Linked DNA regions of Nothobranchius furzeri. The protein of the gene in region 2 interacts with the protein of the main gene of each other region in a biochemical or structural test. Links are inferred from orthologs where the notes say so. Each region holds a gene or a part of one and is shown on either strand. Other genes may lie near its edges.

Evidence for each region. The genes of interacting proteins can lie anywhere in the genome.
Region 1: the proteins of snta1 (region 2) and slc6a3 interact in a test that uses a peptide from one of them, tested with the Homo sapiens proteins (2 studies listed by BioGRID and IntAct). The link is inferred for Nothobranchius furzeri from reciprocal best matches to the Homo sapiens genes SNTA1 and SLC6A3.

What each region holds. Positions count from the first base shown.
Region 1 is NC_091745.1:43,574,171-43,578,078, forward strand, and holds part of slc6a3 (sodium-dependent dopamine transporter), read right to left. Parts: intron 2,536-3,908; coding exon 2,404-2,535; intron 1-2,403. UniProt on the Homo sapiens protein: Mediates sodium- and chloride-dependent transport of dopamine. Also mediates sodium- and chloride-dependent transport of norepinephrine (also known as noradrenaline). Regulator of light-dependent retinal hyaloid vessel regression, downstream of OPN5 signaling.
Region 2 is NC_091743.1:60,424,049-60,427,956, reverse strand, and holds part of snta1 (alpha-1-syntrophin), read right to left. Parts: coding exon 3,728-3,908; intron 3,434-3,727; coding exon 3,244-3,433; intron 899-3,243; coding exon 768-898; intron 425-767; coding exon 228-424; intron 1-227. UniProt on the Homo sapiens protein: Adapter protein that binds to and probably organizes the subcellular localization of a variety of membrane proteins. May link various receptors to the actin cytoskeleton and the extracellular matrix via the dystrophin glycoprotein complex.

The DNA of each region.
Region 1 (3,908 bases), on a different chromosome or scaffold from region 2:
ATGGATATGTACCACAGGATATTAAGGTTGCTGTAATCAAACCTTTACTTAAGAGCACATCACTCTCAAGACTGCAGGTTTACTGGTGGTTCCCAGAATATCTAAAAATGGGATGGGAGGCAGATATTTTAGCTATCAGGCTCCTCTCTTGTGGAACCAACTCCCAGCTTTAGTCCATGAGGCAGACACCTTGTCTACTTTTAAGACTAGTTTTAAAACATTTTTATTTGATAGGGCATATGGTTAAAATCTGGTGTTAGCCTAGATCTGGACAAGTGGGGAGTAGAGGGAGGTGGAGTGTACAGTCGGTAAAGACGGCTCTCCAACATGCCTCCATCTAAAAGGCTAGGTTATCCAGAGTTATCTATGTAGTTATGCTGCTATGGGCTTAGACTGCTGGAGGACATACTGACCACTTTAAACACTCGACTACTTTCTTCTACAATCTGCTCTTCAACTGTATTATTTCCTGCAATTTCAGCTGTTAACTTTATTTTCTCTCTAAGTGTTTTTCTCCCCAGAAGAAGCTACAATGACGTTCTGCTGAGCTGTGGCGGCCTCATGGAGGGGGCCATCATCTTGAACACTGTTGCTAACCATTTAAATATTCTCCGTCTCCTGATAATAACACTTTACTTTCTTTGACATGGAATGTGCTACTACAAGTTTACCCGTTTAACTATAGATTCACTAGGATAAATACAATAAAGTTTATCTTTCACCAAATAGAAAATTTACTAAGAAATCACAATGTAACCATAGAAACATTGCTTGGTATATATGTTGTGTGTGTGGATGTGTGTTTGTGTGTGGGTGGGCTGATATTGGTGTATGCGTGTGTCTGCTCTGTCTTCTCCATCCCCAGTGAGTCATGGTGGATGGCTGCTTATACTGAGCCAGGATTCTCTGGAGGTTTCTTCCTGTTAAAAGGGAGTTTTCCTCTCCACTGTCGCTAAATGCTTGCTTAGTATGAGGATTGCAATAAATGCAATTTGCTGGGTTCCTTTTATAGGAAACTTTTTTTCTGATTGGCTTAATGAACTGACCTGTATTGGAATGTTTATTATGTGAAGTGCCTTGAGGCGACTCTTGTCGTGATTTGGTGCTATATAAATAAACTTGAATTGAATTGAAAGCTGATTAGAGTGTGACACTTAATGATAATGAACCTTTTCACAATATTCTAATTGTCTGAGATTTTAAATGTGAGGTTTTCATAAACTGTAAACAATAATCATTACAAATAAAATAAAGGTTGATGAGTCTATTTCGTGTGTTTTAAGTTGAATTACTGGCATAAATGAACTAATGTTCTAATTGTTTGAGTTTCGCCTGTAAAAATAAAAGCTTTCAAAGTGTACAAAAGCATAAAATGCTGATTCGAGCAAAGAGTATCATTATTTTTTTCAACCTGCGGCTGAGTTAGGAAACAAAAATGAGTCTTACTGTTTGTGTCTCCATTAGTGTGTATACTCTTGGACCGCACTCCGCTTATCGATGTGTTCAAAAACCGTGTCCGCCAGTCATCGTCACCTGACTAGACAACCAGGGCGAGAGTTTTAAAAGCCCAATTTACTTTTGCTTTCCATCTAAGTGCCAACAGAACCTGATGTTCTGGGAGGGATAATAATGCCTGTCGCTGCTCAACGTAGAGACGGGCGGACAAAAGAGACTGGCATGTGGACAGGCAGGCATGTGGGCAGCCACACAGACAGAGAGACGTAGACATGAAGACGGGAATGAGTTACTGTCAGTCAGGCTGCAATGAAGGCAAATGGACCAAAAACAAAAGCAACCACAAACCAGGACATTTTCATGGAAAGAATAAAAACGTGTGTGAGGGTTTGTGTTTTCATGTGTAATTCTTAAAACAGAACACGTCTTTTTGTTGTTGTTGACTGATAATTCAGAGCCAGGCAGCTCTGTTTGTGATTTATGTAGTTTTGGTTTTGCTGGTTGTAACTTTGTGGCAATAATGATAAAGTAGAATGAGAATGAAATGATGGAAGAAGGGTCTCATTCTTTGGTGGGTTAAAATCATCATCTATGTCAACGCCTTTCCCATTGGTGACACTGGAAAAAGCACTACAGTAGGAAAAGGCTGACATGTTTAAAATAATCACGTATAAGCCATGCATGTGCATAATTAGCTAGCTACCAATCAGGAAAAAAAATGCCACATCCAATGCTAAATCACTGCAAACTTCTATTTAGGTTTTTCAGGTGAGAGTGAACGTCCTTTTGTGTCCAAGTGTCGTTACAACTATTCCAATTTAAGTTCCAAAAGTTTTATTTTTTCAGAAGAAAAACAACATAATAAAAGAAAAAAAAAATCTGCAGAAGTTCTATTTGTATAGTCAAATTTTCCTTATTCAACCCCTAGTGACAATAAAAAATTCTTACCTTTAAATATTGGGCATATCTTCCAGACACCTGCAGCCCCCTCCCTGTTGTATTGTCCCAGAGCCAGCTCCATGTAGAAAAGAGGCATTCCAGCTATCACCATGAAGAACAGGTACGGCACCAGGAATGCACCTGCACAAATGCAACAAAGTAACTGCAAAAAACGCAGTAAATACATTACAACAACAGTGTGTTAAAAACAAACACTCAACTACCTCTATGGTAGCAAATGAAATAAAATCCACTTGTGTTATGTCTAAATATCAAGGATGCACAGTTTAAATACATCAATATCGTTGTCTACAGATGTTAGTCATTTTTTAACATACCGTATTGGTCCAATAATTAAAACTGGACTGATAGTGATGATTATTCCCATCTTGTTGCCGTTTGTGTATCTTTCTCAGAGGGTTAGGGGGTGATCATTTGTAATTTGTTTAGTCATGTGACAGAGAAGCTAATCATCTTGAAAGCATAAATGTGTGTGGTGTTTGTGTGTGTATATAAATGTTTATATATATATATATATATATATATATATATATATATATATATATATATATATATATATATATATATATATATATATATATATATATATATATATATATGAAGGGTGGGACTCAATTAAAATAATTAATCTAATTAATTTGAGGCTTTGTAATTAATTAATCTTGATTAATTGCATTATAATCATTCAAAGCAACAGAGGCACAGAATACATTGCCACACTTTAATGAGTATATTTCTATAACTACAAGGTGTATTTGAATATGTTGGTTTCATTATATCAAATGGTGGCCTAGAAAGGGTGATCCATGCTCTGATTACCTCTAGACTGGACTGCAGCTCCCTTTATGCTGGGTTTGACAACTCTCTGCTGCGGCACCTGAAAAATGGTGAAAAATGCCTGTCTACTTATGGGCACTAAGCGCCTTGAGCACATCACCCCTGTTCTGTTCTCCCTGCACTGGTTGCCTGTTCGTTTTAGGATTAACTTTGAGATTTAATTGTTAGTTTTTAATTGTTTAAATGGCCAGGCACCTCCTTACCTAACAGAGATTTTGAGCAAGTATGTTCCTACGAGACGTTTGAGGTCTGAGCTCCAGCTCATTTTAGGGGTCCCTAAGACTTGTCTTGTGACCTGAAGGGACAGGGCCTTTTCCGCTGTGGGTCCCAGACTATGTAACAGTCTTACTCTGCCAATAAGGATGGCTGAGTCTCTGAATGAGTTTAAGTCTCTTTAAAAACTCACCTTTGTAATTTGGCTTTTAATCTCAGCTGAGCACAAACACATCATGTTGGTTAGGTATTAATATTAATATTTTACTTCTTTTATGTAGTCATGTTTACTCCTGTCCTGTCTTTTATTTGTTTTATCATAGTTACTATGTTTTATTTGTCATGTTGTTAACTGTACAGCACTTTGGTCAATTTTGTGAGTAAAATGCTCAACAAATAACAAACAATTGATTGATTGATTGATTGATTGATTGATTGATTGA
Region 2 (3,908 bases):
CCCCCGCGACCCGGACCCGGATAGGCGGAGGAAGACGACGACGATTTTTATTTCCTTTTTTTATCATTTTTTTGTCAAAGTTATTAAGAGGCGTAGTGGAAGGTCCAGAGAGCCACTCGTGGTTCCAGAGCCGCAGGTTGTAGACCCCTGCGTTGGACCTATATTAGTTAGGGGGAGCAATCCGAGCATGAATGCAGAGAGACCTATTTCTGACCGGATCTGTTCACCTGCAGTGACCTCCTTGATGAGCTCAGCAGCGTTGTGGCAACCCTCCACCAGCAGATGAGTCCAGGTGGACAGCTCCTTAGCAGAACCCACTCTGAACACGTGCGTCTCCACGCCCTGCTTGGTGCCCGAACGCAGACCGAACGACAGCTCAGAGTCCAAAAGAGGAGAACTTTTTCCTGGGCCGGAGTGGACCAACCTTTAGGAAGAAAGAAGAAAATATCACCAGACTGTGGTTGAGAGAGAGACAATAATTAGGGATTAGAGATGAAGAAAACTGTTTAGAGGTGGAAAATGTGAAACTGAGAGATAGAAGGGAAAATATACATGACTCATAGGTTCTGCTAACATTAACGTTTTCCAAATGATGATGATGCTGTTGGACAAAATGTTCAGGATTACAGTTATGGAAAGTGTGAGCACGAACCCTATGGCCAAAACCAACCAGTGGAAAAAATTTAAATGCTTATAGGCGGAAACAGATCTGCTATAAAAACATGGGCGTGTGTGTGTAGGTGAGACTGGTATGTGTGTGTGTGGACCTGGTGGTGATGAGTGGGTGTCTCTTGGTGGGATTGATCATAATCTCTTTGCTTTCAGGAAAGGCTGGATACAGGAGCAGGTCCTTCTCTGTCAACACAGCCAGAACAGGTCTCTCTGGACCATGAGACACCTGCACACACACACACACACACACACACACACACACACACACACACACACACACACACACACACACACACACACACAGACATAAAAAGAAGAATTAACAATGAATAACAATGTGACAGGGTAACTGTTCTCTTTTTTCACCAAAGATAAGATAAAACAGTTGATCGGTGTCGGACGATAAGTATCAAGATCGACTTGTTCAACGATGGATCGAGTGGAACTAAAAACCAGACATTTGCTGTTGCCAGGCAGCCAGTGAACTCATCATCGCTATGCAGCTATCGGTGATGGGAGCCCTATAACAGATATTTACTTCTTTCATGTAATTTTATGGAGTGGGCCTACACTTGTTATTTCAATAAACTTGCAGTGGTCTCTAATTTGAATGAATTGTGAGTTGTTTTCTGTGGAAAGAGCAGCTCTGGCACTCCTGTTTCAGGAAGTGGAATTTAGTGAGCGCGGGACTTGGGGGTCTTATGCATTAATATTCATGATTATAAAACATCTCACCTCTGATTGGCTAAAAGCAATGCAACCATTCCACGGACTCTTCCAAAGATGTTGATGTTTTATGTCCACAAATAACACAAGCCTGAAAGAGTTCTGCCATGTTGAGGAGCTGCTAATGCTAACGATTAGCTAGCCGAGATGTGCTCTGCTTTCTCCTGCAGCTAAATCAGCAGCCTTCCCCCTCACGATTCAGGACGAATGAGTCCATAAATGCTAATTTTACAGAATGATGTAGATCTGTGTAGCTTTTTTGTGATCCGAGTATTTCCCTGTATTTTTTTCTTTGAGCAGCTAATGCAGGAAATAGGGGTTGAAGATTAGTTTCTCGTTCAGCATGCACGTGAAACTCAGAGTGACTGATTTCATTTTAAACAGAACAGTGGTATACGTGTCTCAATGAACATCACCTTTAAGAAAATCAAAAAAATTATCCAGTTTCATGAAACATTTCCATGTCAGCTAAAGGCTAAAAGGCATTCATGCCACTTACACACTAGCATCGGCTCCACTCCGCACAGCCCGACAGCCCGCCCCAGCCTGGTCGCATTTATTTCTCAATGCCTTAGGAATGCGGGCGTGATAGAGCACATGGGTGGTCTCCAAAATTGATATGAAAAACAGATTTCATTAATGTCATGAGCGCATCTCCGAGCACGTGGGCAGGGCAAAAGAGGTCCGCCGTGTCTCCATTATTAAACAAAGGCGGCCTGCAGTCTTGCTTTTGGAGAGACTCTGATATTGCATCCTGCTTTGCTTTGCTTGGCAGAACTGTGTGTGTGTGTGTGTGTGTGTGTGTGTGTGTGTGTGTGTGTGTGTGTGTGTGTGTGTGTGTGTATGTGTGTGTGTCCACAGCAGTGAGAGACAGAGAAAAATGTCTTCAGTCAGGCTCGTTAACTCCACAGCATCCAGAATGATAATGAATTGCGCATGCGGGAAGCCCCTCAGGCTGACTCTATTGACCAATCGGAGGCTCCCCCTAATGGTAGGCGTGATTTTGAGTCACCCAATCAGTCATCAGTCAGTGTGTTGGACCAGTTTGGCTCCAGGCAGACCGCCTTTGAAAGAGGGCTGAAAAGACGTCCGGTTGCACCCGGGAAAATCCAAGGCTACCCAAATGAGAACACTCCACACCCCGTCCAGGCGGAGTTGATCCGATGCTAGTGTGTAAGTGCCAATAGGTGCAGTTCTGAAGAAGCAACACTGGGACCAGTGCCCTCTGTCCATGTCATCATATCCTAATGATTTTTTCTAAATGTTATCTTAAAAAAAGGTTTCAAAGGTCCACGGGTTCACCACTAGTCCCGTGTGTTTAATTTGTTCAGAGACGTTTCACAAGAGTGGTTTAAATGTCCCAGAGCATCTGTGACCTTTACATCAAACATTGTGGTGTTATAGTATCTCATTAAACTCTATATTCAGTACCTCTATTATTTTTAGCTGCTTTACTGACAAAAAAAAGATTAGACTCACAACTAAACAAAGGCAAACCAACTGTACCAACTCTTTTAGTTGTACAGATTAAGCAAAGGGATTGATTTTCTTATCCATAGTTGTTCCAGGCCATTGACCTTATCCAGAAATCATACTTGGACCCTTGGATATTCAGTTTGAGGGCCCCTGTCATATATGATTAACTGGACAGTAAACACCACCAGATTGTCCCCATCTGGAACAAAGCCAGTGGAAATGAGTTTAAATTTAGCAACAGAAACTAAATTTACTGCCTAAGAAGTTGGAAACCTGGCAGAAAAGCTACGAAAAGCATGTAGCATTCAGACGTTCAAAGTGAAAAGCACTTTTGGCTGTTTTCTCCTGTATATCAGTATTCTTTCACACCTGCTCTGCAAGCCAGCCCAGATGTTTGACCTCCATGCCAGGCTGCATGCTCTTCAGCTCCTCTTTCACTTGCGGGAAAAGGTTGGCGGCAGCAGCTTGAATGGCATTGTACCAGGACTGGGCCATGGCTGGGTCTTTTGCCCGCAGGAACATGGAGTTCTTTCTGCTGGATGAGACAACCTCAAAATACCTGACAAGTGAGATGAAAGAAGAAGGAAAGAGATTAAAAACGAGGCTGTTAGAGAATCAAAAGACAAGTGGAAAGGAACAAAGCTGCAGGGCGAAGAGGACGTTTGCTTTATTAACAAAGAGAATGCATTAGTAAGGTATATGGGGGGGGGGGGGGGGGGGGATCACTTTTACAATAACCCATCAAACCACTTTGCTACTTTTATTTTGGCATCGTATTTTATTTTCTAAAAAGGCCACACATTAGCTAAACCTAACATGACATCCAAAGGTGCACATGGACACGCTGCAGTACCTGTTCTCTGTGTCTGGGGGGCACTGTTTCCGGGACACCTGGCACATTTTCAGCGGGATGCTGCGAGGATCTTTCACCTCAGCAGGGGAGAGTTCAGCTCCCCTCTGAGGTGTTGAAGGGGGAGAATCCCAGGGGAGGGATGCTCCAGGGGAACCAGGGCTTTTAAAATAGGATGACATCT